Linked DNA regions of Struthio camelus. The protein of the gene in region 2 interacts with the protein of the main gene of each other region in a pairwise test. Links are inferred from orthologs where the notes say so. Each region holds a gene or a part of one and is shown on either strand. Other genes may lie near its edges.

Evidence for each region.
Region 1: the proteins of NDEL1 (region 2) and KALRN interact in a two-hybrid assay, tested with the Homo sapiens proteins (2 studies listed by BioGRID and IntAct). The link is inferred for Struthio camelus from reciprocal best matches to the Homo sapiens genes NDEL1 and KALRN.
Region 3: the proteins of NDEL1 (region 2) and MRC2 interact in a two-hybrid assay, tested with the Homo sapiens proteins (2 studies listed by BioGRID and IntAct). The link is inferred for Struthio camelus from reciprocal best matches to the Homo sapiens genes NDEL1 and MRC2.
Region 4: the proteins of NDEL1 (region 2) and CCSER2 interact in binary tests that used the Homo sapiens proteins (3 or more experiments, as listed by UniProt). The link is inferred for Struthio camelus from reciprocal best matches to the Homo sapiens genes NDEL1 and CCSER2.

Annotation. Positions count from the first base shown.
Region 1 is NC_090947.1:34,426,493-34,433,908, reverse strand, and holds the start of KALRN (kalirin), read right to left. Parts: upstream 3,011-7,416; 5' UTR 2,928-3,010; coding exon 2,855-2,927; intron 1-2,854. UniProt on the Homo sapiens protein: Promotes the exchange of GDP by GTP. Activates specific Rho GTPase family members, thereby inducing various signaling mechanisms that regulate neuronal shape, growth, and plasticity, through their effects on the actin cytoskeleton.
Region 2 is NC_090960.1:13,233,688-13,241,662, forward strand, and holds the start of NDEL1 (nuclear distribution protein nudE-like 1), read right to left. Parts: upstream 3,001-7,975; 5' UTR 2,949-3,000; intron 2,482-2,948; exon of another isoform or gene 437-2,481; intron 1-436. UniProt on the Homo sapiens protein: Required for organization of the cellular microtubule array and microtubule anchoring at the centrosome. May regulate microtubule organization at least in part by targeting the microtubule severing protein KATNA1 to the centrosome.
Region 3 is NC_090966.1:3,743,071-3,750,985, reverse strand, and holds the start of MRC2 (C-type mannose receptor 2), read right to left. Parts: upstream 3,015-7,915; 5' UTR 2,968-3,014; coding exon 2,877-2,967; intron 1-2,876. UniProt on the Homo sapiens protein: May play a role as endocytotic lectin receptor displaying calcium-dependent lectin activity. Internalizes glycosylated ligands from the extracellular space for release in an endosomal compartment via clathrin-mediated endocytosis.
Region 4 is NC_090948.1:35,183,373-35,191,030, forward strand, and holds the start of CCSER2 (serine-rich coiled-coil domain-containing protein 2), read right to left. Parts: upstream 3,013-7,658; 5' UTR 2,922-3,012; intron 2,675-2,921; exon of another isoform or gene 2,438-2,674; intron 2,275-2,437; 5' UTR 2,091-2,274; intron 1-2,090. UniProt on the Homo sapiens protein: Microtubule-binding protein which might play a role in microtubule bundling.

The DNA.
Region 1 (7,416 bases), on a different chromosome or scaffold from region 2:
ATATCTGGCTGTGAAAGTTAAGAGTAGTCCCAATCCTACATTTCCCTAGGGACACTTAACTGAATTCCAATACCAACCACACAGGTGAAAATCCACCCATTTCTGAAAAGTTATTCCTAGTTCTCATCAGCACAAGCTCAAGAACAGGCCCTCCTTCACTACCTCGTGTTAATTCATTTGGTTTGGTTTTCCACACACAGATTAGAGACCTACTATCATAATTGGTATTACCAATAGCAGGCCCCTACGCCTGCACGTTTGGGTGCTAGTGTGGGAGCTGTGGCGCCATCCTCAGCATTAGCCTCCACGGCTGCTCCCAGAGAGCAGCCTATCGATCCTCAAGGCTCCACGCAAAGCCCATCTGCTCGCTAAAAGCCTCCGAGTGAGATGTGAGTTGTTCGGACTCCATTTTTTTTCACTGGGAATAACAAAGCACAAGTTTATGCTTTTCCGTGCGGCAGCTACAAACTCGGAAAGAGTTTAGGTGGTTTAGTGTGCACTTGCACTACAGAAACAGCTAACATTTCAGCCACATAGATTCATTTTTATTTGCTGTGCTGTTCAATATACAAAAGCATGTAAGCAGCAATGGTGATATTTTAGAAACCCAGAATACAAGTCAAGACAGAAGGAATAAGAGAGTATCTGGATGCTAAAAAGTTTATTCAGGTCTCTGCAGCTATTATAGACTAGACCCAGTCTCATACTCCTTTCTCAGGCAGGCCTGCCACTGATTCCTGAGGAAAAGCGGGCTGGAAGTGTCAGCTGCATTTGCTGAACATCTTAGCTACAGTTTCTCTCTTAAGCACCACATCAGCTGTTCTGTCCATTAAAACCAATAGCAGCTTCAGGCAGTCACAACATGAGCATGCAACTCCCAGACACAAACAGGGCACACAAGAACCACAGAAGCCACCTCACACCAATAAATACATTGCAATTTCATAGGAGTCAAGCCTGCTATCACTCCTTTTTCCCTATTTCTCAGTGATATTTGCCTGGTAATTACAACTCACAAAAATAAAGATGAATTATTAACAGATTTTTTTTTTTCATGTCAGCATTTTGTGCCCGGAAAGGTATGTAATGGTGCAGAAACAAGAATTTTGCAGTCATCTTCAATGAAGCTTTTTAAAGTAGATTTGACAGCCATCAGGTATGGACTTAACGTAGTTACTCTTGCCTCAGTGTAAGGATGTGGCCTAGACATCCCTTCCAGGCCTATGTTTCTATGACTGTGTTTCCCTTAGAAGCAGAAATAAAGACTTTCTGGAAACTCCTGGTTAAATGCATGGGGCAGGTAACAAGTGTATTTGTGATTCTGTAGGTACAGTTTCTGGTGAAGACAGAATGCAAAGAGTGTCTAATCATACGATTCTTTGTGCTCTGTCCTTATTTAGGAATACTTTTTTCTCAGAAGTGACACAGACCTCACTCTCTCCAAGTTCAGTTCTGCCAACCTGCTTACACTGAGAAGGCAGTGTCACTGGAAAACGATTCAGCTTTGGGGGAAATAGGGAAAAGATAGGAATTGGGGAGGAACCTTAATTAAGAGAGTGTGTTCAAAAGGAAAACTGGTGATTTTTTTTTCTTCTACAAATTTTCAGGAGCCCACAAATAATGATACTGCTGAAACTTGGGAAATCTGCTTGTAAACAGGTAGGCAATCAACATACAAATATTCCTCGGTTTAATGGATTATGGATTACAAGATCTACACAGCCGATCCCTATTACAGTTATTCTCTAGATCAAAGGGTTTTCACATAAATGGGGTGTAGTCTACCATAGCGCGGAGCCACAGAGCTGCTGCAGGCCTGCAGGAATGAACTTCTTTAAAGTTTCAGTGATTACATAATTGTTTTTTGTAATTGGAGCTCCAAGCACTCCGCACAGCAAACCATCAGGTAGGAGAAAAACAGCTGAAAAGCAGAGTCTTGACAAACAGCTGTGGCAGTTAAGTGTCATTCCTAGCCTAAAAGGGTCAATCCCCTTATGAAACAAGGAGTTAATCCTTTACAGTTTTTAATTAAAAATCTACCAAGAAACCTGTAATGCTTTCTTAAGATTCTAGCTGCAGAACAGGGGGAGAAAAATACCACAGGTCGTTTCACGTGAGATTTTCGTCCTGCGCAAAGCCGGGTTTCAGAGGGCCACCGGGCACGCCACACCTTCACGAACAGGTAGCGCAGCCCTGGCGCGCACCCACCGCCCACAGGATTTAACTAACCGCTGCGCGGGTAACGAAGGCCCCGCTCCACGCAGCCTAACCGCACTTCTGCTCCACCTGAGCACCCGCTCAGCGCGGAGCCCCGAAACGCTCGGCGGGTCCCCCCGGGCGGGAGCCGGGCTGCCCCGAAAGGCCGCGTCCCGCCGGGCCAGCGGGGTCCGGCCGCCCGGGGCCGTGCCCTAGCGGGGGTGAGGGTGGGCAGCTGGCTCCGCTCCCCTAAAAAGCGTCCCGCGCCCGAGCCCGCCCGCTCCCGCCCTCCGCGGGCGCGGATGCCCCCTCTCTCCGCGCGGCTTTTGTGCCTCCCCGGCGCAAGGCGAGGGGGCGGCGGCGCTGCCAGCCCTCCCTGCCTCCCGTCGGCGATCGCCCCGTCGCTGCGCCGCCCGCGGAAGGCAGCCCCGCGGCGGCGCATCCTCCCGGCCGCCGCGGGCAAGGGGCGCCCCCCGGCAGCCGCGCCGGGGGGGCGGGCGGGCGGGCGGACAGACAAAGCGAGGCCGGCGGGGACACCCTCCTCCCTCCCCCCCCCCCAAACCCCGCCGCCGCTTTCTCGCCCGGTGCCAGGGCGAGCTCCGCATCCCGCGGCGGAGCCCTCCGCGGCCGCCGCGCCGCGCCCCCGCCGCTGCCGTACCTGTGCGGAAGAAGGCATCCACCTCGGAGTCGGGGACAGCGCCGTCCTCCGCTGCCCCTTCGGCGGGATTCATGGCTGGGGGAGAGGCGGCGGCGAGGCCGGCGGCTGCTAATATCCAGTGAGTTAGGGAGGAGGAGAGCCGAGAGAGAGAGAAAAAAAAGAGGGAGGGAGCGAAGGAGGGAGGGAGGGAGAAAGGGAGGGAGGGAGGGATGGATGGAGGCGCTTTTAGCGGCGAGCCCAGCCGAGCGCCTCCCGACTCATCCCTCCGGCGGAGCTTGCGGGGCGGCTGCCCCGGGGCTGGGCTGCGGCTGCCGGCCGGCTGCGCTGCGGCTGCCGAGCCCCGCCGCCGCCGCCGGCTCCGCGCCTGCCGCCTCCCCTCCCCTCCCTCCGCCGCTATTGTTCCCACCGCCCGGCTCCCCCCGCCGCCGCCGCCGCCCCGCTGCCGACAATGCCCCTCGCCGCCGTGACGGCCCGGCCCGGCCCCGCCGCTCCCTGCCGACCGGCGGGGGCTGGCTCAGCGCGGCCGGGACGCCCGCGGCGCAGGCTGCCCCCGCCGCCGCCTGCCCTCCGCCGCGGTTCAGCCCGCGCCGCCGGGCGGAGGCGCCCCGCGGCCGCGCACAGGTGCGGGCACGGCCGCCCCGGCGGGGCTCCCTGCTCTCCCCCCCGCTGCCATCCCCCCTCTGAGGATTAACCGCGGGGCTTAGCGGGCAGGTAGTCGGGGACTGAAAGTACAGGTCAGTGTGGCTACAAGAAAAAAAAATCCCCCATTTCTTTTTTTCTTCATGGGCTGTGGGGCATGATTGTTTTGGAAAAGATAAGTAAAATCGCATGTTAGTGCAGGTACCTTCACCTAGTCTATATTCTTCGCAGTCCTAAGGGGCTTTGGGGTAGAGAGCTTGGTTTCAAACTCCTTCTCAGGTGCTCGTCCCAGCTCACACATTGGCTCAACTGTTTAAGTGATGTTATTTCTCTGTCATCAGGCTGATATTTGTGATTTCAGACAAAAATTGCCATCTCAAGGGAGCCCTGTGAGGAATACTTGTTTGTGCTTTGTTAGTGGCTGTGTTAACTATTATTCCCTGAGCCTAGCTATCAAGATTTGAAGCACAAAGACAGACAGACAGACATTTGCCATTTGGGCACCTTCCTTTTTCATGTTCAGCTGTTTGAAGCCTCACCAGCTCCTCATTCCACTAAAGTCACAAACAGCTCTACAGCTAACAGCCTTCTTAAGGAGAAGCATTACCATTCCCCCATCCAGAACATCACCAATGTATACGGGAGTGTTTGTCACACCTCACAGTTGTCTCTGCTACCTGGACCACTAGAAAGCTAAAACAACCATCACAATACCCACATCTGCAGCTGCATCACCCCTGCATAATCCATTTGCACCATGCATGCATCTCCTTCTCTCAGGACTGGAGCCTCAACCAGCAGGTTCCCATGCCCCTGTCAGGAAAATATCCCATCATCTCTCCTTTGCCATTGGAAACACGTGATGCTTAAGGGGCTCTATAGGTGCAGGGGTGGAAGTCAGCTGGAGAAAACGCAAGGACAAAACATCTCCTGGAGCCTGGTCACCACAGGGGGACTCACTGAAGCACTTGGAAAGAGCTAAGCAGCAGTCTAGTGCACCTCAGGAAACAGTCCAAAAGAGCAGAAATCTCAGAGCCAACTGGTTGCAAGTGGCACCTTTCACATCAGATCTCAATCTGGAAGGCAGGTTAGCAGCCAAGTCTGGCAGAACCTTTCCTATTTTACCCAAGAATATTTTAGGCAGAGGAACATGAGTTTTCTACATCTGATTCCTACTCAATAATACACCAGGAATGTGAATTTTCTACATCTGAACTCCACTTAATACACCAGCCGTGGGGCAGAGAAAGCTGGATTTGGATGTGTGCCCACTGACTAGATATATTGCACTTGATAAAAGGGCTGAATCCTTCCCTGTGGAAGCTTGAGTATCCCGATGACATTGAACAAACAGGAACAGCACCGAGATCCCGGTCACATCTTGTCTGACCTTACTGTTTACTACAGGAATTGAAGAGGAATTGAAAAGCAAAGCATATGTCAGGGCTGGGGACCACAAAAATAGAAGTACACATCCAGAGGTTTAGCATTTAGTTTCCCTCTGGTTGCCTTATTGCCTCCCTTCTGATTTCTGATCTGCTGCCCATTTCCAAAGCCTAATGCCAGCTGTTTTTAACTGCAGCAGTTTATCTTTTTATGCTTACAGATAAAAAGGGTCATTTCACACCTCTCTGCAGATAACATCAACACAAAAGCCATTTCCAAGCTCCCCAGCCTCACTGGGGACATCAGCGTAGCCTTTCCTAACGCACCCAGCATCTGGGAATCAGCCCCACCTCCATCACCAGGGCATTATCACAGTACAAATACTAGGTTACAGCCATCCTTTCCAGACCCAGTCTTCCTTCTATAGTACCATTCATCCTTTCTTCCATGCTCTCTAAGTTGCTGTATGACAATGGAGAGGTGGCCTTCAGTGTTCAGGGCCTAGGCAAACCCCATCATTTCAAAACCCATCTTAAGGTCCTGTCTCCTAATATTGTCCACACACAATCTTGGTTCACTCCCCAACCCTCATTCTCCCTGACACTCTTATGTGCAGATTGATTTTAAACTGTGGGCTAAAGCCTCGGTAGCTGGGAAAACAGGGGCCTCCTAGTGAAACACTTTGCGTACACTCAGTATTTAGTACAATCTAGTCAAAACATTTCTCCTTCAGGAGCATCCTCAGAAGCCAGGCAGAAGTTGCCTGTAAGCAGGGAGGGTTTGGCATCACCCAGGAAAGGGGGTTAATGTTGTCAATGACAAGCATTTATATTCCCCTTTCCTTATGAATTCTGCAGGCTCAACCTATATCATCGATACTAGAACTCATACAGCCTACAGAGAGCATCCATGTCTGTATAGTCTGCAGTCAGACGTGCAGCATTCAAAATGCTGAGGGAAGGAGAGCAGTTTCCTTATCTGACCTACCATCCTGCTAACGACCTGGATTCTTTGCTAATAATTTAACCATAAGATACTGCTAGTTTCTGAAAACAAGCTATATTTCTTCCTCATGGGACAACTTCATAGAATAAGAAGTGGTCCCAGACCTCTCTGGTACTTCAAAACAAAAGGGAATTTCCATTTTATTAAAGGCTAAAGAGTTGGGTTTTTTTTTATCTAGGTCCATTACAAAGTTCATCAAGACATAGCCATGTATTTTGTTGTCCATCTCTGCTGCACTGGGCACAGCACGTTTATACTTCTGTGCTTGCTGCTCCACTGGCCAGGAAAGCCCTGCACTGTGTACTCACTATTTTCATGGGACAATTGCTCAAGCAATGGTCACACTCGTCACACACCTTATATAGGCACAGCCCACGGCAATGCAGGATCAAGACAACCGTATTCAGGTATCAGCAGATTTTAGTGCAACCCAGACATTAAGGGAGTTACTATTCTCATTATCTCTGCGAGTAGGATAGGGCTCTCACTAAAAATACCATTAACAACTAGGAACCATCATTTCCTCAGTTCAAGTCTCACCAACAAGTTTACAATGGTTGTTGCTCAAAGAAAAGCAGTTAAATATGAAGTGAAAAGTTTTCCACTATATAATTCACTGTTTAGATCTAATGCTGAAGGCACCTACAGTTTCCCTGCAATACAAAACACTAAAAACCCCTGTAGGATTACATAAGCCAAAGCACACTAGTTTCACTGACAGAAACCTCTTTAATCTTGTGCACGGCTCTACTTGACAAATATATCAATCAGTACCAAACAGCTGGTTCGGTACAAACAACTAGGTACGAATGCTCTTATTTGTGATGGCCCCTGAAGCTGCTCAAAGATCAGAAACTATCACACAGGCTTTTGATTCAAGGCCTCTACTACACTCAGGTTTTCCAATAAGATCGCAATAAGAAGCATCAGCAACAAAAACCATTTTTTAGTTGGATGCCACAAGCATGAGAGCTATAGGATGGGAGGAGGAGGAAGCATTTGAACAGAAGGTCAGTAAAATTCATCTCTCCAAGACAGCAAATCCTCTATAGGAAAAAGTATTTTAAGGCTCTAGGACAGTTGCAGGACTGGAAACAATACAGCACTTACAGAAAGCACTCGCAAACTGGATACCCAGCACAAAGGATCATGAGTCAAATGCTGCAAAACCCAATACATGGGCTAAGGGCTCTGACTCCAGAAGCCACAGGCACAATAAGAAAAGCCATCCTGCTGGTTCAGCAGACAAGCTTCAGCCTGCAAGGTGTCACAAAGACCATTACTTGTGCGGAAAGTCCACCCCTTCCAGTGTCACAGCGGCCTCTAAACACAGAGCATTAACAGAGAGGATCAAAGAGAAAACCTAAAGACTTATCTTCCTGCTCTGCTGTTAACAAGGCAGCCTTGGGTGCTTTTAATAAGTTATTTGCAGCTACATTCTGGGATAGGTGAGAAAAATTTTTCACACCCAGAGACCTGCTCAGACCTATATGTCTAGGTATTAGGGTTGAAATTACTAAACTCTTAAACTG
Region 2 (7,975 bases):
AAACTAAATCAACATGGCTCAAAACACATACCTTCACATTTGTAATTTGCAACAGCATGCAAGATCAAATCTTGGCATGTGTAAGTCAAAAGGAAAATGCCTGGTATTTGCCTCGACATATAAAACATGAATATAGAGCATAGCAAGGTCTAGGTCTGAAAGTAAGAGAGCATCTTTCCAAGGCAGGCGCAACATTACTAATTCAAAAACCAAACTATTCACCCACACCCGTCATATCATGTTCCACCATAATTATCTGGCACTATCAGGACAGAATGCCTGCACACAGTCACAACACGACTGACACATCAAATTTAAAAACAAACAAACAAAAACCTAAAAACTTCAACTTCACTCTTCTGCCCTAGTACAACTGCTTCCTATTATAGTCACAAATGCCTCCAAATAGAGCAATGACCTTGACAAGGCCACTTACCTCTATGGTGTCCAAGACTTCTTCTGCAACTTAGAATTTCCTTAAATGTCCAAGTAACTGTTTTACTGCAGTTTTGCACATTTAATCACCTCTTTGAGGAATAAATGCCACAGACCTAAGAGAGCACTATTTGCACTCATGACCAAGTTTCACAGGGAACAGAGAAACCCTGAGTCACTGAACACTCCCAATGCAAACCGATAGAGAACAACAAACCTGGGGTACGTGTGGGTGAGGACAGCTCTCCTCGTCACTAGTAGGAAGGAAGGGTATGTTTTAATGGGAAAAGACATAACCGAAAGCCTAACTCTAGTAATGTATTTTCTCTTGCGTCAACTTGTTCATCCTTTATGCCATGTCTGGCACAATTTGGGCCAAACTCACACTGGAAGGCATTGTCTGTTCAAGTTTGGTTATGCTTATACAAAATAAAACAGGCCTAGCTAAGCTTAGAGAGAATAATACCCCTCCCCCTCCCAAAAAAAGTAACCTTCACGAAATTCCTGGAAAAGTATTTACAGACAAATATTGCAGGCATTCGATCTACTAACTATTTTATGCAATCTCTGCAAAAGCAACTATTTAAATTGTGACTGTGAGAGAAAAGCCCATGACAGCAAAGTGAAAGCATACTTGTAACTAACTTCATCACAGGCGAGCATAAATTAGCATTTCCTCTGGCACACTGCGTAAGGGGTCTTCTCAAACCCTGTCCTGTGGGCCACCTGACGTGCATAGACCAGACCATGCCAGCTCTCACAACTTTCAACCACTTCCCTGAGCAGCAAGACCCTTCACCACAAAGAAGAGAACGGTGGCGAACCATACGCCCAGCTATCTGTCTTCTACCGGAGCTGGACAATGAAAAGACACCTCCTTATGGGACCAAGCCACCTACAAAATAGGCACAGGAAGTATAAAGAGAGCAGCAGTGATTCCTGTTTACAGCCAGGCAAACCACATAGCTTACTCTGCCGCATGCTTTACATACACGCACACAGAGGTAAGTCCTTCTGCACTCAGAAATTGCTCTGAGGATGGGGTGTAGTCAAAAGCAGACTGCTGCCATCAAAGCTGTCCTGGCTGCCCCCTTCCCCAGCAGCAGCACGGGGACAGCCAGGGAGCATAGTTCACTGCATTTAAGTGGACAGCCAGAAAAACAAGTGTCCCCTCATAACACATGTCACATGACAGAGAGATTGCCGCACGGTCCCAACGAAGATGAGATTTGGGAGTGAGTCACTTAGTCTGAAATTCGTTCTCCGCTTGTAGAACGGAGCACAGCCAGGAATAAGTCCCGAGCTGGACAAACTGCATGTATGTCGGGCAATTTTGCCTTAACGCATCGGAATTCTGCAGTCTCACTTGAACGCTTGCCCCAAAACTGCACCGCTGGGCTCTGAGACGATGCGTGCCCAGCTCGGCTGAATCGTTCTCAAAACGTTCTTCCTTCCCTGTTCAGACACTCGATAATCCGAACCAGGCTTGCCACTCTTGAGACACCTTTGCAGGCTCAGAGATAACTTTCAAGAGGTGTAACAAGAGGAAGCAAAACGCGATAGCGTAGTCAGAAAAAGCGTTTCCTTTCAACGAGTGCAAAGAGGGCGGCCAGCCATGAATTATGAACTGCCTGCGCGGAATTAAGTAGCGGGCAGCTTCCAGTGAACTGACAGGCACGGATTAAGAGTTTTATAACACAACTACCTTCCGGGAAAGAACCTACTAGTAGAAAAGATATTTCAAACCAAACGTCGTCCCAGCCATTTTCCCCTCCACGCTAAAGCAAAACTGCCTTTTAAACAAGTTCCCTCCCCCAAAGGCCACTGCTCGCGGGCAGCCAAAGTTCACGCCACGCAAACCGCGGCCTCTCTCCCGCTGAGGAAACACCTCGACGCCCGGGAGGCGGCGGCGGCCACCCCGCCGCGGGGGAGGCACGCGCGCGCAGACAGAAATAGCCCCGCGGGGGCCCCGCCGCCGCCCCGGCCCGGCCCGGCCCGGCGGAGGCGGCCGGAATCCCAGCGCGGTTTCCTCGGCCACCGCCGGGCGCGGGCGGCGCCCCCCACCCCCCCATCGCCTCAGACGGCGGCGGCGGCGCCCCGGGGAGGGGGAGCGCGGGGGGCGGGGGGGGGGGAACGGCTCGCGCAGGGCGGCGGCCGCGCGGGCAGGGCCGGGCCGCCGAGCGACTGGCACGCGCTGTCGCCAATGGGAGGCGGCGGGGGCTCCGCCGCCGGCCAATGGCGGGGAGGGAGGGGCGGGACCTGCCCCGTTGTCAATTTGCAGCCAATCGGCGGAGGGGTGCGGGGCAGCGGCCCCCGGGACCCCGCTGCCCTGCTCGGTACGGCCCGGCCCGGCCCGCCCGCCCGCCGGCCCCCTCCCGCCGCCGCCGCCGTGAGGCGCCGCGGCCCCTCTGATCCCCGCGCCGCCCCCGGCGCGCCGGCACGGCACGGCACGGCACGGCACGGCGCGCTGCCGAGCCGCCGCCCCACGCCGCCGCCGCCGCGGCCTCACTCACCCGGGCGCATCCCCTGTCACAGCCGCAGCATCCCCGCCGGCTCCCAAACCTGCCTCATCCGGGCACCGCGGGGGGCGGGGCCGCCGCTGTGACGCGACAGAGGGAACGGGGCCCCGCCCCTCAGAGCGGGGCGTGGGGAGGGGCTAAGGCAGGCCGCGCCCGCGGGAGGGCGGGGCCGGCGCTGGCACCCACGTGGGGCGGTGCCGGGACGCCTGGGCCCCTGCGCGGTGCCAGGCCGGGGGGAGGGGAGGCTCTGGGCGCGGGGCCTGGCAGGGCTCGTCCCCCCCCCCCCGGGCTGCCCGCGGGCCGTGGCCCCTCCGTGGCCCCCCCAGAGGCCCGGGCTGCCCCGTCGGGTGGGTTTGCGGGGGCCGGAGCCCGTCCCGGGGCTCCGCGGCAGCGCGGCCTCGCTGCGCGGGGCGACGTTTGCCACCCGAGTGGGATGGAGGCGGATGTGGGGCCCACGGGGACGCGTCCGCGCTGCCGGGAAGGGCTGAGAGCCGGTGGCCGCCGTGGGGTTTTGCGGCGGGCTTCCTCAGGGAAACCGCGGCGAGGCGGCAGGGGTCGGCGGAGCTGCTCGGCGGGGCTGGCCAGCCCCCGGGCCGAGAGCCCTCGGCCCTTGCCGCCGCGCGGGCCCGCGGGCCTGCGTCGCTCGAGCGCTCGCTTTACCTGAGCGGCCGACTTCGCTGCGACGTCTCGCAGCTTTTTTCTTTGTTTGACTTAATTTTATCTTTAGCTTATTTTGATGATGTAGCTGAGAGAGAGAGAGAGAGAAAGAGGCCTTAGCAGAAGAAAAAGCACCAGGGATGACTCCAGCGCACCCGTAAGGCCGGACTCAAGGCCCCGCTCCGTCGCCCTGCTGCTGGAGCACCGAGGTCCAGCCGCTTTTCCCCCCCTCCCCCAGCCCTGCTGTTACTTCTGCTGCTATCAGACAGACGAGCAGGTGATGCCTGCGGGGTTTTTTTGCAGAAAGGAAGCTGGTAGCGGGTAAGACAGGAGAGGGAGGCCCTAGGGGGAAGACCGAGTTGTTGTCGGGCTGCAGAGGGCGATGGCGTGGGGTCCGCGCGGGGTACGGCCTCCCCTCGGGCCTGACGCCTCTCCGGACTTGCGGCTGCGCGGTGAAGGTGCAGGAGGAAGAACCGCTGCCTGCGTTTCTGCTGCTTGGGGTGGACGGAGCTGAACGGCTTTGCCGCGAGCTGGCGGCTCAGCCACGCTACGAAAGCACAAGCGGAGGACGGGAAGCGGTGCTGGAGACGGGCTGCAAAGCTGAAGTCCTTTGCTTACGCCTCTCTGATCCGGCGACAGCCCCGCAGTCAGGTGTGCGAGCAGGCGAGGGCCGGCGGCGCGCCGAAGCGCTGGGATCCCAGCGGGCGTGGGGCTGAATTGCAGCGTGGGTTGCAGTCCCTTGCGACCGTGCCCTGCGGCACGGGCTTGGGCTGGGGGTGCGCGGGTGACGGCGAGCCGGATGTGCTCTAAGGAGATGCCTTTTTCAGTGGAAACCACCGGCCTGTCCAAATGAGAAGCACGTTCTTCCCAACAAAACTTTCACTGGGGAAGTATCTCGGTGCCGGCGCGCAGTGGCTGCTCAGGATGAGGGACGAAGCGACTCCGTGGACCAGGATAATCACTGTTTCCAGAGGGAGGGGGACATCCCGGACAGGCCTAAACCCATGTCCAAATCGAGCTCTACGTGAGCACGTTCATGATGGAGCTGTTCCAGGGCCGCTTCTTGGGAGGGAGGTTCTGGGTGTGTTCTGATCTCTTGATTCTTGAGACTCAAAGTATCAACTTTGGCAAGAAAGCCGTTTTCGACCCATCCAGCTGGCTCTCCATAGCTCCGAAGCTGCTGCGTTCCCGTTCTCCCTGGCTACATCTGCGCTAGTAAATTAAACAGGCCCAGGCCTGCTCTCTGGGAGGACCCCTGGCAGCGTGGTGTGTGTCCACCCAGCTCAACTCGCTGCCTCCCTAGCAGGGGGATTTGCCTATGTGTCTTATGGACATCTGTATCCCCGAGACCGTGCTGTCCCCCAAACTTTGCCAGCATCAGGGATAGTGATGGAGGCACAGGCTGCAGGCATGCTGACAGTTACCTAGTGTGAGATGAGTCTGTTGGGACTCAGCTCGTGCCCAGGCCCCGGAGGTCCTAATTTTGTTAAGGCCCCCCTGCAGATTCAAAAGCTGGCTTCTGCCCTGGGTGGGCTCTGGGATGCATTTGGGCACAGAAAATCAGCCATAGCATCCCCACCGCAGCTCCTCCAGTGTTCCGGGCAGAGATCGAGCCCTGCCAGCGTGTGGAGGAAGGCTTGAAGTCAGCCTGGCCGCTGCCCTAACAAAGTCAGCACTGATTTCATCACGGTCCTGGACCGTACGGAGGCACGTGTGGAATTTTCTATATTTAGACTGAGAAATTGCCATCGGTCAGAGCGGAGAAGCACTGCCTTTCCCTGCAGCCATGCTTCCTGCGCTCAGCAAGAGAAGGACACGGAGAGGTCAGAGCCAACACCGGCCTCCGACCCATCACAGCGGAGCAAACGGGCCCTGTTTCACCTCACCAGAGCCTCCTCTCATGTTCTCCATCCCTGCTGAGCTCTCCCCAAAATGCCCGTTCACTTCGCTCCCCATCCCAAGGGGCTGGGTCACAAGCGTGTTGGTCCTCGTTTGGATTGAGAGCCCCAGCCAGTTGCTGATGGGGTCCTTGTGCCCTGCGCTGGGAGCCTTGGTCCCCAGGGAGGATCTTGGGGGGATCCCATCTCCTCCTTGGAAATGCAGAAGGTCCTTCAGCATCGGTAGGGGGTCCTGGACCCCCATCAGTATTGGTGCATGGGAACTGGACCGTGACTCCCTGAGGTGCCAAATTGCTCCCCTTGACAATTCCCATTCCCACCTCTTCCTGCTGGCCTTCCCTGGGGATGGGACAACATGCCGCGCGTCCCACCCTTCTCCCTTCCTCCCATTGTGCTGTTTCCTATCTCTGATGCCTTGTTTGGGATCGGTTACCATGATATCTCCCAAGTCTATGTCCTCAGATCCCCTCGGTGAGGCAGGCAATAGGGCACTGAGACCGTGGCCAACGCACTAAGCGACTTGGGCACCGAATGCCCATGGATGTGTATGAATTGGGCACCTAAGTTCCTTTAAAGGGTACACCTGAGGGGCAGGAACACCGCATACCCAGACGAGTGGTAGAGAAGGGATTGGACTCTGTTACCACAGGGTTGCTCCAGCCACTGGGCCATCCTTCCTTTTCACCCATAGCCTTGCAGTCGCTACGTTATCCTCGCGGCGTTGCTGTGTTTCTGTCCTGTAAGAGCCCCTAGAGCGGGGAAAGTCACTGTATAGGGAGGCTTTTTTAACTGTTTAAGTAACCTGCTGGCCCCAAGCCAAGTTTGGGGCAGCTGTCAGCCTCTGAGATGGACTATCACTGCTCATCCCGTCCTCCGTATTTCCTGGTGGCTCCTTCTCCAGCAGTACCTGCCAAATGTGTTCCACGGTGTTTGCAACACGTGCCCCACGGTGTTTGCAAAATGTGCCCCGTGGTGCCTGCCAAATATCCCCCATGGTGCCCGCCAAATTTGCCCCACGGTACCCACCAAACATGCCCCATGGTGCCTGCCGAACAGCCCTCTGGAGGCCACAGCTTCAAGGGCACGGGCGGAAAGAGGGCAGGGTGCCCTCCGCGGTGGCTCCTGCACAGGAGCTGCCTGGCAGCTGGACTCCCAGCTCCTTTGCATGAACCTGATACTTAGGTTTCCTTTGCATATTAAATTTGCTTCCCCCTGTAATTAGCCAGACGGCCTGTCATTAGCCATGGACGGTGCTTTCGAAAGGCCCCACGTGCCACCCTCGCTGAGGGCCATGCCTGCATGCTGCCGGCAGCGTGGGGAAGCTGCGTTTGAACCTGTGGCCATGCCGCACTGCCAGCTGTGTGACAGCCCGCGTCCTCTGCGGGCACTACGCCTCTGAGACCATCCTCTGTATAGTGTTTCCTGATAACCTTTTCTCTGCCCGTGTCCCACTAGCCATAAGCTATGGGTTGTCCAGGGCTGATGGTCCCATACTCTTCTCCAGGGAAAAAAAATCCACTTTTTACCATGGAGGATGGGGATGGGCGTTTTTATACGCGCCGAGGACAGAGTGCAAGTACAGCTGCCTCCCAGGTCCCGCGGTTCAGTGAGCACCATGAATCACCCGTGACTCCTGTACAGGACTTTTTGGGTCACCTTGTGTGCTCCGGCTATTGCACAAGCTCAGGAACGCTGCTCAGCAACTTCTGCACTGAGCCCAGGATATGCGGTAGGACCAGAGCGTGGCTCGGAGCCTCGCGCTGCCCCTGAATGAAAGAGTGGAGGTGAAGCCACAGCATCCCGGGGGAAGCTGTCCCGGTGGTTAATTCCAGGCAGGATCTCTGCTTGGACTCACACCTCTGGGAAACCCCCAGGCCGGGGGCTAAGCGCATGGTTTGGGGCTGTGGCTGGGGAAATCCGCTTGTCTCCTTTGCCCTGCTTTAGCCTTGGTTTGCAACCCCCCGCCAAGGTCCTTGGCCCCGGTGGAGGGGTTGACCAGGGGGCTGAGCAGTGGCGGGAGGCCTGGCTGGAAGAACGATCCTCTTTCCCGGCTTTCCAGGCACCGTGTTGCTCTGATCGAGGGGTAGCTACAGCCGGCTGGGTGCTGTACACGTGCACAGTCCAGCTCTGAAGCAATTCTGAAGCAATCCAGCCTTTCTCGCTGCCTTGTAAAAGCTGTAAGGGAAATGACTCATGCTGTCTGCGTCGCGTTGTGCCTTGTCCGCGTGCATCCCGCGCACTCTTGGCACAGCGCTTTCCGTCACTTGTCTGATTACAAAACGGCCCTGCGAGGTAGAAAGGAGGCAGAATATGATTGTCCGCTAGGAAATCACTGCAAAGTTGCCGGCACCGAATAACCACCTATTGCAGCAGTGCCTGAGTATTATTCCCACAACGGTGTACGGAGAGCAGGGTTGAGCTCTCTCAGGGGAGACGAGGTAATGAGAGGGGTCCCGGCACATCTGT
Region 3 (7,915 bases), on a different chromosome or scaffold from region 2:
GCGGCACGATGGTTTTGCACAGCGAGAAGTGAAAGAATAACTCCCCGTTGCTTTCCGAGGGTCTTGCGCAAGGAGCCGTTGCCCTGCCGGCCCCTCGCGTCGCCCGGTCCCCGGCTGGCCTGCGCCACGCCAAGCAGAGCTTCCTCGCCGGCAATAGCAACTATTATTTCTCGGTTCCTCCTTCCAGCTCTGATTTCCCAATCCATCGGAAGACGACCACGCTATCAATTCCTGAGTAACGCTTACAGCGCAACGGGCCGTTTTCATTGAAAAGGGGAAAATGGAGCGTGGGGAGGGGGTGGGATTTTATGCAAAGGCTGCTCGGCTCGGTTTAAAGGCTGTAAATTCTCCTCCCGGTCCCTTTTTGGCCCCTGCTGTGATTCGACCGCACCAGCAGCCCGGCGGGAGGCGTCACCCACGGTCGCAGGCCGCAGGCGGCGGCGAGGACGGACCACGGCGCATCCCGCCCAGCAGAGCTGCCCGTTGCCCACGCCGTTCCCAAATTACGTTTTTCTCCAGGCGTTGCGGGTCACTAAGCCGCGGGACGAGGGCGGCTCCACGCCGGGAGGGCCCCGGATGAACGCGACCAGAGCGACCGCCTTGCCCCGCCGCGTGACGTCCCGCGCCGGAGCCGCCGTCCCCCACGCGAAGCCCCGGGGTGCTTCTGCGCCGTCCCGGCGGGCAGCGAGCGGCTCGACCCCGTCGCGGGAACCGCCTGCTCCCGGGCAAACCCAGCCTTTCTGCTGGGCCAACGCTGGAGGAGTTTTATTAGAAAAGCAGCCAGGAAAAGGGCGCTTGGGATTAATCCACCCCGAGCCCCAAAGCCAAGTGAGAAGCTGCAAACTCAGCTTGGCGCTCGGCCGGGCCCCGCGCCTCCACGCTGGCTCTTTAGACTGAATTACCCGCAGAATTAACAATAATTGGAAAGGCTCAGATTACCCCGGAGGACGGGATGGAAGCGGGCGAGCACGGGGAGCGAAAGCGCTTCGTCAGACTAACGAGCCGGCGGAGGCTGGCGGCCTCCTTCCCCGCGACGGCCCGAGCGGGCGAGCGCCGCCAAGCGCGGTGGCACCGGCGGTGGCTCCCGGGGCCGGGGCCGGGCCGCCGGCGGCCGCCGGCTTTGCGCGCTGCCGCCTACGGGAACCTCAGCGTTAGCAAGGCAGGGCTGCGAAGGGGCCGAGCGGCATCTCGTTGGCCCTCCGGCCCCGAAGCGGCGCCAGCTCGAGCCGCCCTGCTCCTGACGCCCGACTCGGCGCACCCGCGTTGCACCTCGGGGACGGAGGCGCTGCTCGCCGCGGGGTTACGGCCTCCGGCTCCCGGTTCCTACGCGCTTTTTTCGTGGCAAAACCGCCAGAATTGGGTCCCTACAGGCAGCCGGGGCTCTGACCTCTGCCGAAATCCAGGGATCTAGGCGCCGGAGCCCGCTGGAGGAGGAGGAGGGCTTTTAAAGTGAGTCACATTAACCCTCCCGAAACCAGCGGCCGCAAAAGAAGCCTCTCCGGACCTTGAGCCAAGCCATTCCCAGGGCTGGGCCGGGTTTAGCGAAGGCTCAGCTGCAGAAGCTGGGGGGGTTCAGCTGAGACCGTCTCCAACCAGCAGAAAGCCTAGATACCGCTCTCCTGAACGCTCCCGGACGAGACGAGGATTTCTTTTCCATTGCTTAACCCTTCCTGAATTTCTCAGACAAGCCCTTTCTGCCATCCGTGCCTCCGCTCACGCTCTCTCTCGCGCTCTCCCTCGGCACCGGAGTTTCTCCGAACACTGTTGCAACACAGCGCAACCGTTCAATCGCTTTTTGTCCCTTCCCAAGGTGGTGGCTTCCTCTCGCCTCGACCTTTCCCAAAAGCCCATCTAGGAATGCAGAGGTCGGCCCTGCTCGCGTGGCTCCTTCGCGGGGAGGGAAGGGGGAAAAGCTGGGGGCAAGCGGGGAGGAGGCGAGCCAACGGCGCCCTCCCCTATTGCCATTTGCAAATCTGGTTCGCATTTGCTAAACGTACGCGAATAAAACAGGCCAAGGGGTTTACGTTTGTTATTGGTCAGGCCAAAGTAGCCAGTTTCGATCTCTTGTGTTTTTGTTCTTTTTTTTTTTTTTTTAATTTTCATTTGCTCCGCAAGGCCAAATTAATTAAAGGAAGCAACAAAACCGGTGGCTCGCTGCTGCCAATAGACATATCCCGGGTTAGAAAACGTTTCGCAGGGCTATTCCGGGGCCATCCTGAGGAGCCTCAGGCGTGTGGCACACGGTGTCTTGAGAGTTTTTTGGGGGCAAAAAAAAAAAAAAAAGGTAAAAAAGAACCGATTGACTGGCTTGTGAAAAGTTAGGAAGAAAGGAAGTGTGCAGCTACCTACTGGGGCCGCGGTCCGAGCAGCGAGGCGCGGGCCGGAGGGGAGCAAGGAGCCCGCTGGAAACCTCTTAATAAACCACTTCAGATTTCACCGCCCCCCCCCCCCCACCCCCGGTTTAAAAAACACCCCCGCGGGCGGCCGCCGCCGAGACAAAAGGGCCAGAGGCGGGTGCCGGGGGCGCGCCGGGCCCCGCTGCCGCCCGCTGCCGCCCCCGGCGCGGCGCCGCCTCCCCCTCGGGGCCGCGGCGGCGTTTCCGTCTGGCTCCGGCTGCCCAGACGGCTGCGTGGCCGCCGGCCCGGCGGCGCGGGGAGCCGAAAGGCGACGAAATTAAATGCAAACTCCCCCCCCCCCAAAAAAAAAAAAACCGAAAAAAAACAACCCACAAATCCGAAGCGAACGCAACGAAACCGACCCGAACTGGGCGAGCCCGAAGCGGGTCTCGCCGCCTTCCCCCCCCCCACCCCGCCCCGTCCCAAAATGAGCGGCCGAGGGGGGAGGGGGGGGTCGGACAAAGAGCCCCGCGGTCCCACCTGGCTGCGCAGCGCCGAGCACCAGCGGCAGGCCGAGCAGGCAGAGGCAGGCGCGCAGGAGCCGCGGCCCCGCGGAGCCGCCGCGCCTCATGCCCGGCGCTGCCGCGCTCCGCTCCGCGCCGCTCCGCGCCGCCGCCGCGCTTCGCTGCCCGCCGGCTCGCGGGGGACGGCGGAGGGGCGGGCAGGGAGGCGGGGGGGGGGAAGGAGGGAGAGGAGGAGGAGGGACACCACCACCACCACCACCAAAAAAAAAAAAAAAAAAAGTTAAAAAAATAAAAAAAAAAATAGCGCGCGTGTGTGTGTGTGTTGGGAGCCAGGGCCGGCCTCAGACACTGCGTCAGCGGGAGCCGGAGGGAGGCTTCGCTCGGGAGCCGGAGCGGCACGTTTCGGGATGCCGCCTCCGGGCACGTTTCGTAAAATCCTTCGAGGACTTTCAGAGGGCAGCCGGGGCTGACGGCCCCGTTTGGGAGCCCCTCGCGCCCCCACCGCGACGCTGGCGCTGGCCCCCGCCGGGCAGCCTGCAAGGGCTCCGCTCGGGGCGCCGGCAGCTGCCGCCAAGACGAAGCGAAGAGGCAGAAAGCCCCTCGCTGCCCTTTGCTCTTCTCCTCGGCGCTGCCAAAAATCACCCCAAGCGCCGAGGCCGAGCGGCCGCTCTGCCAAAAAGCCAAGTACCTGTTGCACAGGGAACGCCGGGGCAGCTATTGGATTCACCGCGGCCGTAATGCTGCCGAGCCCAAACTGGATCCTCGTCCGCTCCAGGCACGTGGCACGGGGCCGGGCAGCTCCGGTGTCGCCTGCGCGGTCGCCGGACACCCGCACGCCTTTCCGCACACGGGGTCCGCCGTGCAGGACACGGGCGGGACGATGCTTCGCATCAGGCCAAGACGATGGCGCCGTTCCTGCCGAAGGGGAAGCGCAGCTGGGTCCCGAGATGGCATGCTGCAGAGGGAGCGCTCGGGAGAAAGCCGCTTTGTGTTTGGCCGTTCTGTTCGCCTTGCGAAAATAACCGAATCCGTTGTTTCCCGGCAAAAGATGAAGGCCCTCTAGGCTGGTGCCAGGACAGTCTTTGGAGAGGCGAGCTCTCCGGGGGGGGCCCAATTAAGCACATCATCATTTGCACTGTTGGATTTTTTAAGCCACGGATTATTTTTTAATTGAACCAGTGCCTGGAGAAACAGCCTCACTCGTACTGGCAGCCGGGATCTGCTCCACAGCTGGGCCGACGTGTCCACGGGGAGCAGGCGCGGGAGGAGAGAGAATCACCCCTCTCCTCCGTCCCATCCCTAAACCGCGGGAGTTGGGATGGCGACGGCTGTCCTGACTTCCTTGGCTGGCTGCAGTCCTGATGCACAAACCACCAAGGGCCCCATGAGACCTGCTCAACCATGCTAGCGTCATTAAAACTTTTTTTTTTTTTTTAAATTAAAAATGTGCCACCTGAGGAGCTAGGAGGAGGCTGGCCGAGCTGCCAGTGCTCATGGCACGCTGTCACCACGGGCTGGCAGGATGGTCTCTGCACGCCTGCTGCGATGCCCCGTTTTGGGTCTCACCGCTAGAGGAACCTGCTGTCCTTGTCCTGGAGGCAAATCCCTTCCCAGGAGGAGACACGGTAGAGCTGAAGGGCTTCAGCTCCTGCGGCGCATCCCCATTGCCTGGCCTCGCCAGCGTCCCGTCCATCCCATTACTTGGAGGTGCTGGGTCTATGTGTGATTAGAAGATAAGTAACATACCCTAATTAAGTGCTCCAGAGCAGGCCGCTAGCTCCTCGCTTACTCTCCTCCTTGTCTGGTTTAGTACCAGTTGAGTTGTCACTCAGTGGAGTGCAGCTGGAGGAAATACATTTTTTCCATCCCTCGGGACTTCTCCAAAGCTCTGTCTGACCTTTTTGTCGGCAATGAGTTTCTGCCAGACGCAGGGAATTGGCCGCTCGCAAAAGGACACGGACTTTCAGCCGCAGGCCATGCTCTTGGGAGCTCTCTCTTCACACCACCGTTAGAGGCGAGGGGTTGGATCCCAGGACAGATCTCTGCCAGATCCCTGCCACTAAATCGCCTTTGGCTGAAGGCCTCCTCCCTATTTGTGAATGCTGGCAGAGAACGGGTCAATCTGGGCTATTCAGCTTCCCACGCGTAGATCGGAAAGTAAATGTTGTTAATAAGCAGTGAGACTCAAGTAGATCAGGATGGGAAAACCAACACATTTCATCACCCAGTAATTACTGGCTCCGCAGAAGGGGAGGCTGGTTTTTAGCCTTAGTTTTGTTAAATAACAAGGACGTTATGATTTTAAAAACTCACCTCAGATGAAACGGCCACATGTGGAATTAGTCTGGAGTACACCGAAGGATGAACAAACACTAGATTTGTGGCTGAGGTGCTCACCTTCAGAGATGCACCCTCAGAGCTGGTTATTGAATTCAGTTGGACCGACAAGGGCCAGGGTCCGGATATGGCATATACTTGGCATTTGCTCTTGTCAAAGGTGTTAGAGGACAGGATTCAGGCATCCGTGGACCCGTGAGACCAGCTTCAGCAGCACCAGGCTTTAGACAAGATATTCTGATGGAGGAAGTTACCAAAGACACAGAGAAAACACAACGTGACATGGATTTATTGAGAGGTAAACCATGGCAGATGCCTACTCTGGAACAAGGGAAATAAAGCAGATCAAGATAGATGGTCTTCAGCAGAGCATTTGATTATTGCCACTTGGGAAATCATCAATTAGACTGAAAAAGATGGGGAAAGAAACAAGCAGAAGCAGAAGGGCAGAAATGGGTTGTGAGACTGACCATCAGACTAGAGAGCGGTCACGAGGGGTTTCCTCCAGGACAAGTCTTGAATGACTAATGCTGAAAGGTGGCACCACTTAGCCACTGGCTAAGGAGACCGCAGTGGCTCCTAGCCCCGGTTGAGACCGTGACCTCACGTAGAGGTGTGTGACATGGCAAATCCACTGCTATCCACATGCATATCAAAACCCATCTATTGTCCCTCCTCTTCCTTCTCAACATAATGCTTCATTTCTACGAGCTAGTTTTTATCTCTAGCACGAGCTTACAGACCAAAGCCAATAAATACATAACCAGGGTGGGGGAACTCCAGCACTGCCCTGACCCACGCTGGTGAAGCAAAGAGGGTGAATTTATTGCTTTGAAACTCTTTGTTAGGTTTGAAGGTGTGTAAGAGGGGTCATTCCTGCGTATCCTGCTAGATCTCAGCGGTTCCTAAGGCAAAGGCCTTGGAGACATCATTTGGAGGCATCTCCCCACTCCGGAGAGCTGCGGGCCCTATGGCAGCAGCAGTCCTCGAGAGCAAAGCCTTGCCCGGAGAGACCAGGCTCGAGGTCTCCTGCCCATTGCCATGGGCTTTGCTTCAGCTCGACCATCTCAGCCTCCATTTCCCAGGCTGTTGAAGGATGTCCTTCCGTCTCGTGGGGACGGTGTTTGACGCAGGCGCTGCTGGGTCCCACTGGCACCTGCCGGGCTCGGCCCTGAGCTCGGCACTCCGTTCACGCCGCCTCGGCCTCATCCTGGCCCCCGAACAGAGCCGGCCAGGCCAAGATCAACACCCACCTGGCAGGCGATGCTGTGCTGAGGTCACTGCTCCGAGAGGAGAACGGCTCGGAGGCGGCCGGCTCTCCTCTCCCCCACGCCGGGAGCTGGAACGGGGCACGGCCACGTCGCTCTCCGCCAGGCAGAAGCGCCCGGCCGGGGAGCAGAGGTGGGTGGCCAAGCCCAGGAGGGCCACGGCAGCCCGGGCTGCTCCTCTCCTTGCTCCACGGGTGCCTCCCTGCAGCTTTTTCCAAGAGCGTCGGCCCCTGCCAGGCTCGCTCGCTCCAGCCCTGCCGGAAGAGGGCTGGCGGCACCGGCCATTGCACCGGATCGGGAGACGCGTTTGGGCAGCACCATGGGCCTTCGGCCTCAAAGGGGCAAAAATAAGCTACTAGTATATAGTGCTGGAGTCACGCACGAGCACATAGCGGCCGGAGCGACGGAGCAGCCAGCTGGAAAGCGAGAGGGGCGTTTTCCCGGGGAACGTGCTGCTGCAGGACACCAGGCGGCAGGGACAGAAACGCACGTGAAAAGGAAAACGATGCAAAGGGAATCTTTTGGGTTTGCTTCCTCCTGGAAAGTCCACAAACCCTTGAGCTTTTGTGCTGAGGCCGGTCTCAAACAACCGCCTGGTGGGGTGGGGAAGGTGCAGCAGAATCGGGACCACCGGTGCGCCACGGCCCCCCCACCCCGGCCAGCACCCTGCTCCACTCGCTCCTTCAAGTAGCTGCTCCAGGCCACCACGTAGAGGCTGCAAAAGCCTACGTCTGCCCCCGTCGGGGTGCCAATGCCACCGCGGAGGGGGCTCCCCCCAGCTCCAGCTGGCAGCCAGGAGCCGGCGGCCCTGTGTCCCTGCACCGGGGGGCATCCTTGGTGGCCCGAGGGCTTATGGCCATCCGCTCAGAGGGACCAAGGTGGCCCGAGCTGGCTCCGGGTGCCAGACACGGGTCGGGGGGTGGAGAGGAGCGAGGTGAGAGGTTTAGCAGGGAGCAGCTGAGATGCAGCCTTTCTCCTTCCCTCACCCCCCCTTTTAAACACGTAACTGGAAAATCCTGATGTGGCTTTTACAAGCCACGGGGAAGCGCTGTGCTTGGGCTCGGCCTCTCCCCGGCGCTCGGGCGATGCCGACGGTGCCGCGGTGCTTGCTTAGTCCAGCCTCCGCCAGGCTCCGCGCTGGGAGGAAGAGCTCGGCGCCAGCGGCCGAGGCCCCGGCGCGCCGTGGGGCGTCGAGGAAGCGTGCTCATTTTCGGGGGGCTGGCGCATCCCAGCCCTCGCGCAGCCCTTTCCCGGCTGCTCCAGCGTCGCACCCCGGAGCGAACGTCTCGGCTGCACGGGCATTTGCTCCCCGCGCTCGCGCCTGGTCGCCAAGACCGGACCAGACACCCAAGCCAGCCCCAGCTCTACTCAACACCCGTCTGCGGGTAAAGCAGCCCACGGCGTCGCCTGAAGAGGGTCCCTTCGCGGCAGCCGAGAGCGCGCCCCGGCT
Region 4 (7,658 bases), on a different chromosome or scaffold from region 2:
ACAATGCACTTCAGTAAAACACATCTTTAACATGATTTACAAAAGGAAATAGAGTTGAAGTACCGCACGTGTTAACGTTTTAGTGAAAAATTTTCTGTCTAAAACACACTTCTGAATCTCCAGCTCTAATGACACATCATTTGAGTAAAGAGAATCCAGAATATTCAGTTCTCCCACGACACTTAGCTTAGCTTGTGCCGTGTGTGTCACGAGCCATTAGGGCTAATTAGGCTAAATGCATAGCAGTCCCTTTGCTTTAGGGAATAAATTCAGAAATAATTTGCAATTTAAGGGTTATTCCAGATCTATAACCTGTTCAACCACCACATAAAAGTAAAACCTTATCAGCTATTTTCCTCTGGCTAAGTCGAGACCTTTCTCACAGCGTGAACCTTGCCGACATTAACCATACTTCTGCTTCAGTCAAAGCCATTAAAATGTATTCTACAGAAGACTAAGCGCTCATGAAAACCCCAACAACTATTACAGTGGAAAAGCCATCTCACTGAGAACTTGTGACATCAGTTTCCCCCAGGACCTGTGGCAAGCACCCCTGAGAGAAGACTGTCTCGCTCCACGTGCTACAGGATACTGTCAACCGAACTGTTCCAGATGGATCTTTCCTCTAGCACAGAGGGATAATAGCTAGCAAGAAAGGCCTAGAACTCTGCAAATCAAGTACTTTTGATTAGAATATCTTCAAAAAATATACCCACTTGATAGAAGTTCAGAAGTGAGCTGGAGTATGTTTCCCAGAGGTACCAAGAAATACAAAGATCTACACTGACTAGCTAAATTTCATCTTCTGAATAATTATTTTAATGCTATCGGGATTTTTTTGTAACATAAACGTGTTCAGGTACCCAGAGACTTATATAAGCTTTTTTATTGCTTCAGCTGAAACAAAATGCAGAACTTTAAACCTAATTATCAAAACCCCCATTAGTATTTTTATCTTCTTAGTATCCCTGTTGGCAAGGAATTCAGCCCTGCCTGGAAGCTTCTAACTAAGATGGCGCTGCTGTTTACACTTTCAAATAGTGGCAAGAAGAGAGCAACACAACCCTCGCTGCAATGGTTGTGTTTTATTCTCTCTTGCCAATTTCCACAGAAACAAACTTTCTAACAGCTTTATATGTCTGATTTTCATGTGAAGACTGATGGCATGACGGCTTTTCATCCAGAGAGCCTGTACCAACTCTTCTTTGCAAATGGTTTATTCCAAACAGCAAATCCATCCCAACCCATGATCAGGTCCAAGAGTAATAGGTTTTACTCCAGAAAGCATTTACACAAACAGTTCCATTAAACTGAATTACTCACTAGCATAATACTGCATGTTAGTTTGGATCATTATTATTCACATTATTATGCGTTCATATATATTATTAATTCCTTAGATTCAGAAACAAAAGGTGTTATAAGAGACAAAAAATATCAAATACAGAGATCTTCTAAACTATTTAAAATAGTTTTATGATTAGAAGACTATACTTAGCAGTTTTTCAACCCAAATAATTAAGATCTCTATAACGGAAAGTATGTGAGTAAAATCTAAATTTTGATTTTAAAAGCATTTTGACTATCTCAGGTTGCATATTTACATAGATTTTTGGTTAATATTTAGGTAGCTGGTCACTATTAATGTTCTATTTTTTAGGCATTCACCTCTACAGCTTTTAGGTATTCAATCAAAATGGGCTCAAAGAATTTAGAGTTATGAGATCTCTTCTACACTTCAGGAAGTAGCTGCCAAATTTCAGTCAGCATCAACAAAAAAAAATCTGAATATTTATTGTCTCACACTAAACGTTCAACTGTCCCAGCAAAATACATTTTTAACATTTCAGGCAATACTTACAACAGCTTTCAGTTCCACAAAAAAACAACAAAAATTAATCCAACTTCATATTGCTTTTAATACATTGGTTAAAAAAAATTTTTTGTTCTGCGCCAATACCAGGCTCAAGGACCACATACAGGAATAAGCCTTCTAAGGATCTGAAGCATCTATCCTACACTTTCAACAAAGACCTTAAAGAACCGATAAACATCTTATTACAAAGATGAACCAGATCTCCAATCCTTACCTTAATTTGTTGTCTGGCCTGGACACTAATGATCTGCTGCAGCACAAAGTTCCCATTCACTTTTTCTTTCTTTAACTGAAGATGAACAGCTCGGTTTCCTCCGGCTCAGAGTTAAAGGGTGAAGTTGTCTATGTTTCATTGTGTATCAGAGTACAATCGACAGAACATGATGTTTCAGCAGGCTCTGGATGAGAAAGGCAAATTCTCAGCGTCACTGAAGAGAAAACAGCATAACACACGTAACACTTTCTTCCTGCTATACGCAATATCTGAATAGATTTAGCTGAAATAGATGCTCTATTGCCTTTTTTTTTTTTTTAGACCGTTGGCTGTGAACACCCACGTACTTGGTGCCTTGGCACCTTCCCCTTTGGGGGGGGATGGGGGAGACACAAGGGGATCTCTGCAACCAGGGCCTTCAGCTTCCTGGTATACCTGCAGGCACTCTTCAGCAAACAGAAGAAAATCAGAATACGGGCAAACCGACAGAGCCACCCAAAGACAGGCCCGCCCTCCCCCCCGCCCTTGACCGCCGGGCAGCGCAGCCCGCCGAGGCCGGGGGCTAGCCGGGCACGCGGCCAGCCTCGCCCGCCCCGCCGAAAGGTCGAGGCAGCGCCCGGCGGGAGGCCGCCGCCGCCCCCGGCCCGGCCGCCGCCCCCCGCGCGGCAGCGCAGACCCGCGGCCTCAGCGCCGCCGATGCCGCAGCATCCTCCGCCCGCCCCAGGCGGCGACCCGCCGACGCGAGGGAGGGCGGCGAGGGGACGCCGGACCCCCCCGGCCGCCCGGCGAAGGGAAGGGGCGCGAGGGGGTGGCGGAGGCCGCCGCACTCACCGCCGCGCCGCGCCGCGCCGCGCCGGGCCGGAGCAGTGCCCTCCCCTGGCGGGGCCGCGCCGCTCTGCGCCCCCAGGTACCGGCCGCCCAACCGCCCCGCCCCGCCCCGCCCCTCCCCGCCCGCGGTGGGAGGGGCGCGCGCCCGCGGCCGCGCATGCTCCGGCGCCCGCGGCGGCGGCGGCGGCGGCAGCGCCGGGCTCCCTCCCCTGCCCCCGGCCGCGCCCCTCGCCTCACCCTGACGTCACAGCGCCGGCCGCGCAGGCGCGCCGGGCGGCCTGGCGGGGCGGTGGTTGCGCGCACGCCCGTTGGGCCGCGCCCCGCCCAGCCGCGCGTCGGCCGTTAGGCGCCGCGCGCTGCCCTCCCAACGGTTTTTCCCGCCGGCGGGAGGGGGCAGCCGGTGCTCTGCGGGCAGACGCAGGCAGTGTCCGCCTAGCTGGGGCCCTGTGCCTGCCAGCTGGGTGCAGGGAGGCTCCGGCGTGCTCACATCGCCGTAGCCCCGGCCCCCCCCTTCGCTCGCCCCTTGCCCCTGAAGCTTTGTCCTCGTTTGACATGGCGGAGGGCAGCGCCGGGGCTCTGCTATCATGTCACCTCGCCCGCCTGCTCAGCTGCCCGCCGGGCTGCCCAAACTGTCCTGCCCTTGGCGCTTGGGTTCACGCTGGGCTCGTGAGACACAGGCAGAGCCGATGTCTGTGGGTGCAGCACCACCGCCCGCGTCTATCAGTCTGCCCCAACAATTCGGGGACCCGGAGACCAATTTGAAAAAAAAGTAGTAGTTAGGCCTACAAGTGTCCTAGCGCTGGGACTACGGACCATGCACAACGGAAAGAGACCTTGCAAATGTCCCAACTACATGAAAAGCGTAGGACTTGTGCCACAAATCACAAAGCACTGACAATATCAGAAACTTCTGCAAACTTCAGAAAGTTATTTGCCCAGAGTCACTTGAAATTACTTCTTTTATCAGGGTCACTTAACTGAGTTAATGTTTATACCCCAATGCTTTGCCTAGGCATCTGCGTGCTTATGCCTAGGGCCTGCGTTTCAGCACCTCGCGTGCTTGGGGCTGTTCAGATGTGCATTGTTTTCACATGCCAGCATCTGTATTTCTGTGCATCCACTTAAGATTTGAGTATCATTTTTCTCAGTGTTTTCAGAGTTTCCACTGCCAATATTTTCTAAATTTTAGCATGCCTGCTACATCAGAACTCCCAGAGGAAAAAGGTCATGCAATAGCTTCAAGCAGTGCTCTTGCAGAAGAAGAAAAGCCCTGTAATGGATAAGCATCATTTGCCGCAGTCTCTTGACTAGGATTTGGGCAGGCTGCCCAAGGGTGTAAGAACTGCTTACAGATGTCAGCCCAAGCACTGCCTCCGCACCTTTTGAGACACGTGATGTGAAGGCTACAGTACATCTGCCCCATGGATAGCACAAAAGACCTATTTTTAAATAAGGAACAACAATGAAGCTCTGACATGTCTTTTTGCCTGAAACTGAATATTCCAGTCACATTTATTCTTAGAACAATGTGGAAGTATAATTATTCCCCTGTGGTACAGGAAGAAAAAAATAATAAGTGGGGAGAGATTAAATCTCTTGCGCAAAGCTAAAGAGATAGCAAAGCCAGGAAATGCACTCAGATTTCCTGAGTCAGGCGTTGCTGCTTTAACCACAGTCATCCTTTATTTGAGTCATCCCCAACTTCTGAGCGCTAATGTAAACATCAACTGCATTAGCATAGATTTGATTTTTCCCTACTTTGTTGAATAGAATGGCTTCACTGTTACCACTGAAATTTCCTGCAACTTTCCTTCTTCTCCACCTCCTTCTAAAACCAAAAGAAATCCTATTACAGACTCACTGGGAGATTCTTACATTTCCCACTGCCTTTCTGCAGTCACTGCAGTTCAGCAGTCTTCAACTGCTGAGTTTTCATAGTACATCTCTTAGCTAGGTACCCACATGCATAGTGAAACAGATCAACGAACAAAGTGTTCCTGCTCGTATTTTTCAGCTAGATCAGAGAACTGCATGAACACTTGTACCAATACGACAGAGGCACGTAAGCTATGTGTACTGGCCTAGAAGTGGTGGTATAACCCTCCTTTTTAACTCCAGCTCATATTTGTACTATCTAAAATGATCATGATACCAAACTCTAAAAGAAAACAATACCCCCCCTCCAAAAAAAAAGCTCTAGAGAGATCTTAGGGCAGATCCGAGAGCCTCCTCCATCTGTTTATACATTTAACAAATTGCTACAATGCTTCTATAGCCTCATGATTAAGCAGATCCAGTCTTTGAGCAAAATCCACATCCTTTTTTGAATAGCTTCAAAAAGCAGAGCCCACATACCCAAATTCCAGCTTCTGGCTTCTTAACCAGAAACATGGTCTTAACTATGCTACTGAATGATGCTACAGATTAAGATCTAGCTGAGGTTCAGCGTAGTGTCTTCTCTTCCCAGTTTAATATCTGATATATCCCCAGCTTGAGGACTTTATATTCAATTGGTTTTATACTAAATTGATTTAAATGGACTTTATATTGCATTGAGAGATGGACTAGAAGCTTGTTTCATCCGCTTCCCTCACTGACCTAGAACTAGTGGCGCCTCCAAAAATGGAAGACACGGCAACGGATACCAACAAACGCCCCGAGCAGAGTACAAGAGTGTGATGAGCAGACGGTGATATTTACACAAATACTCTTCCAACCTCCCATAGTTGGCAGACCAGGGACTTTAACAGCCAAAGACGTATCTTTCGCACAGATTTGTTCAGGTATGAGCAACTTCAGTGCAGGGAGCAACATGGAGGCCTAGTTTTCCTAGTAATAGTTGAGCAGGTATTTTCAGAGTATCCTGCTGTAACCTTGCTAGCTTCCTCAGTTTTACCCGACTTGCTGATAGATAAAGACAATGAGATAGCAGTAAACAACCAGCTGTTCGATATGACCTTTACTGATTATTATAAAGAAGAATACTTCCAGCCAGTAGCTATATCACAGGCTGGCTTGAAGGGAAACTCCTGTTCCTTTAAATTTGGTCTGGTTTCCATTTCATATATTTCTGCAGACTAGAAGTGCATGTTTCCCTCACTCCAGTGGAAAATGAAAGAAGGGTTGTTCAAATTTGTCCTCGTAGCCTTGTTCCCTTCTCTTTACAAAACCCGAATTTGATGTTTCCCAACCCTTGCATTACAATGAAGCTGAGATAGTCTGTTTCAGTGAAAGCTATCCTCTCAGCCAGGACAATCTCCTTCCTCTTACCACTTCAGAAAAATCATTTTTGCCAAGCACCTCACACAAAACAGACTTTTTAGATAGCTGATACGCTGTGACCACACTTCTTACTATGCTCTTCATAATCATGTCCTTTTTACCTTGTTCACCCACTTCCTTTTACTGCAGCCACCTTCTACTTATACTCTGATTCTATAAAATCTGATGCTTGGACCGTATTTTATCTGTTTGCATTGTTTCCAATTCAAAAGGGCTAGGCAGCTAGGTGCCACAGTTTTCTTCCACATATAAGTAATCACTTAGTAATGGCTGGCATTTTATTTTTACAAAAAATGAAACACTGCAATATGGACTCTTGCTATCCAGGAAAAGTTCAAAAAAAGGAAAACAGATTAGAATTATGGAGCTTATTTTTCTTGTGTTATAGCTGAATTTTTCAGGAAATATGACCGAGCACATAGAGCTAGATGGTTATGGGCTTAAATTCTTCACTTCAAAGCGTCTTAACTCATTCTGTAAAATTTGTTCATTGGCAGGCATCAGTTTCTGAGAACATTCGTTGTCCCCTTTAACATTATGAAGTTAATAGATAAATGCTGACCCTATTTCCTTGAAAAGGTATTGAAAATAATTTTTCACTCATTTATTACTAAGTATTATCTTAGCAATAGGAAATTGAATTTTGTTTGTCCGGCTAATAAAGCCATTTGCATTGTTTTCCTTATAGAGATGAAATACCTTTGCTACCTGGAGGTATTCTTCTAGAAACAAATCTGTTCTCTTAATTTGCGTCTCTACAAGTAGTGCTTTTATTAATGAGTGAATCCTTTATATTTTCCAAGTTGCAAATTGACACCAGAGATCTGCTGTCTGTAGAATTACTTATTGCCTTTTCAATCTCTTATGCTTTTGTAAGCTATACAAATAACTTCACTTTTGTAATACTGTAAAAATATGTACTAAAGCAAGTATTAAAAGCTGATGAGCTTGTTTTCTGAGATTAAGTACAAGAAAAACAGTGGGCTAATGTCACATACAAAAATAATTACAGGTCATAAGTGGTCATATAATTACTGTGGTCATAAGTGTACATATTTATTATTTCCAAGCACAGTATCTGCAGGTAGCTAAACTTTGTACCATTATGCAATAAATAGTTGTATAAGAACAAAATGACTGATAGGAAATTCTGCTTGGTGCAAGCTGTCATCTTGACAGTGGTTTACGATCAGCGTACCTTCCTCTGCGTACATGTGGGAAAACGCAGAGATGAGCTCAAACTTGTTCTGCTGAAATATATAACCCCATCATTTTTAAGACTAAGTCCCGTATTTTTCCTGGTTACTTGAAAAGGAATCCAGTTTATAGAGATGAAGTCCTTGAGCATTTGTGATACTTTTAGACATTAGTGGTATTTACCACTTTCTAAATACATGCGTAGAATATATGTAAAGGAAGAACTGTTTATTACCAGTTGCACAGCCAGTTTGTTTTTTA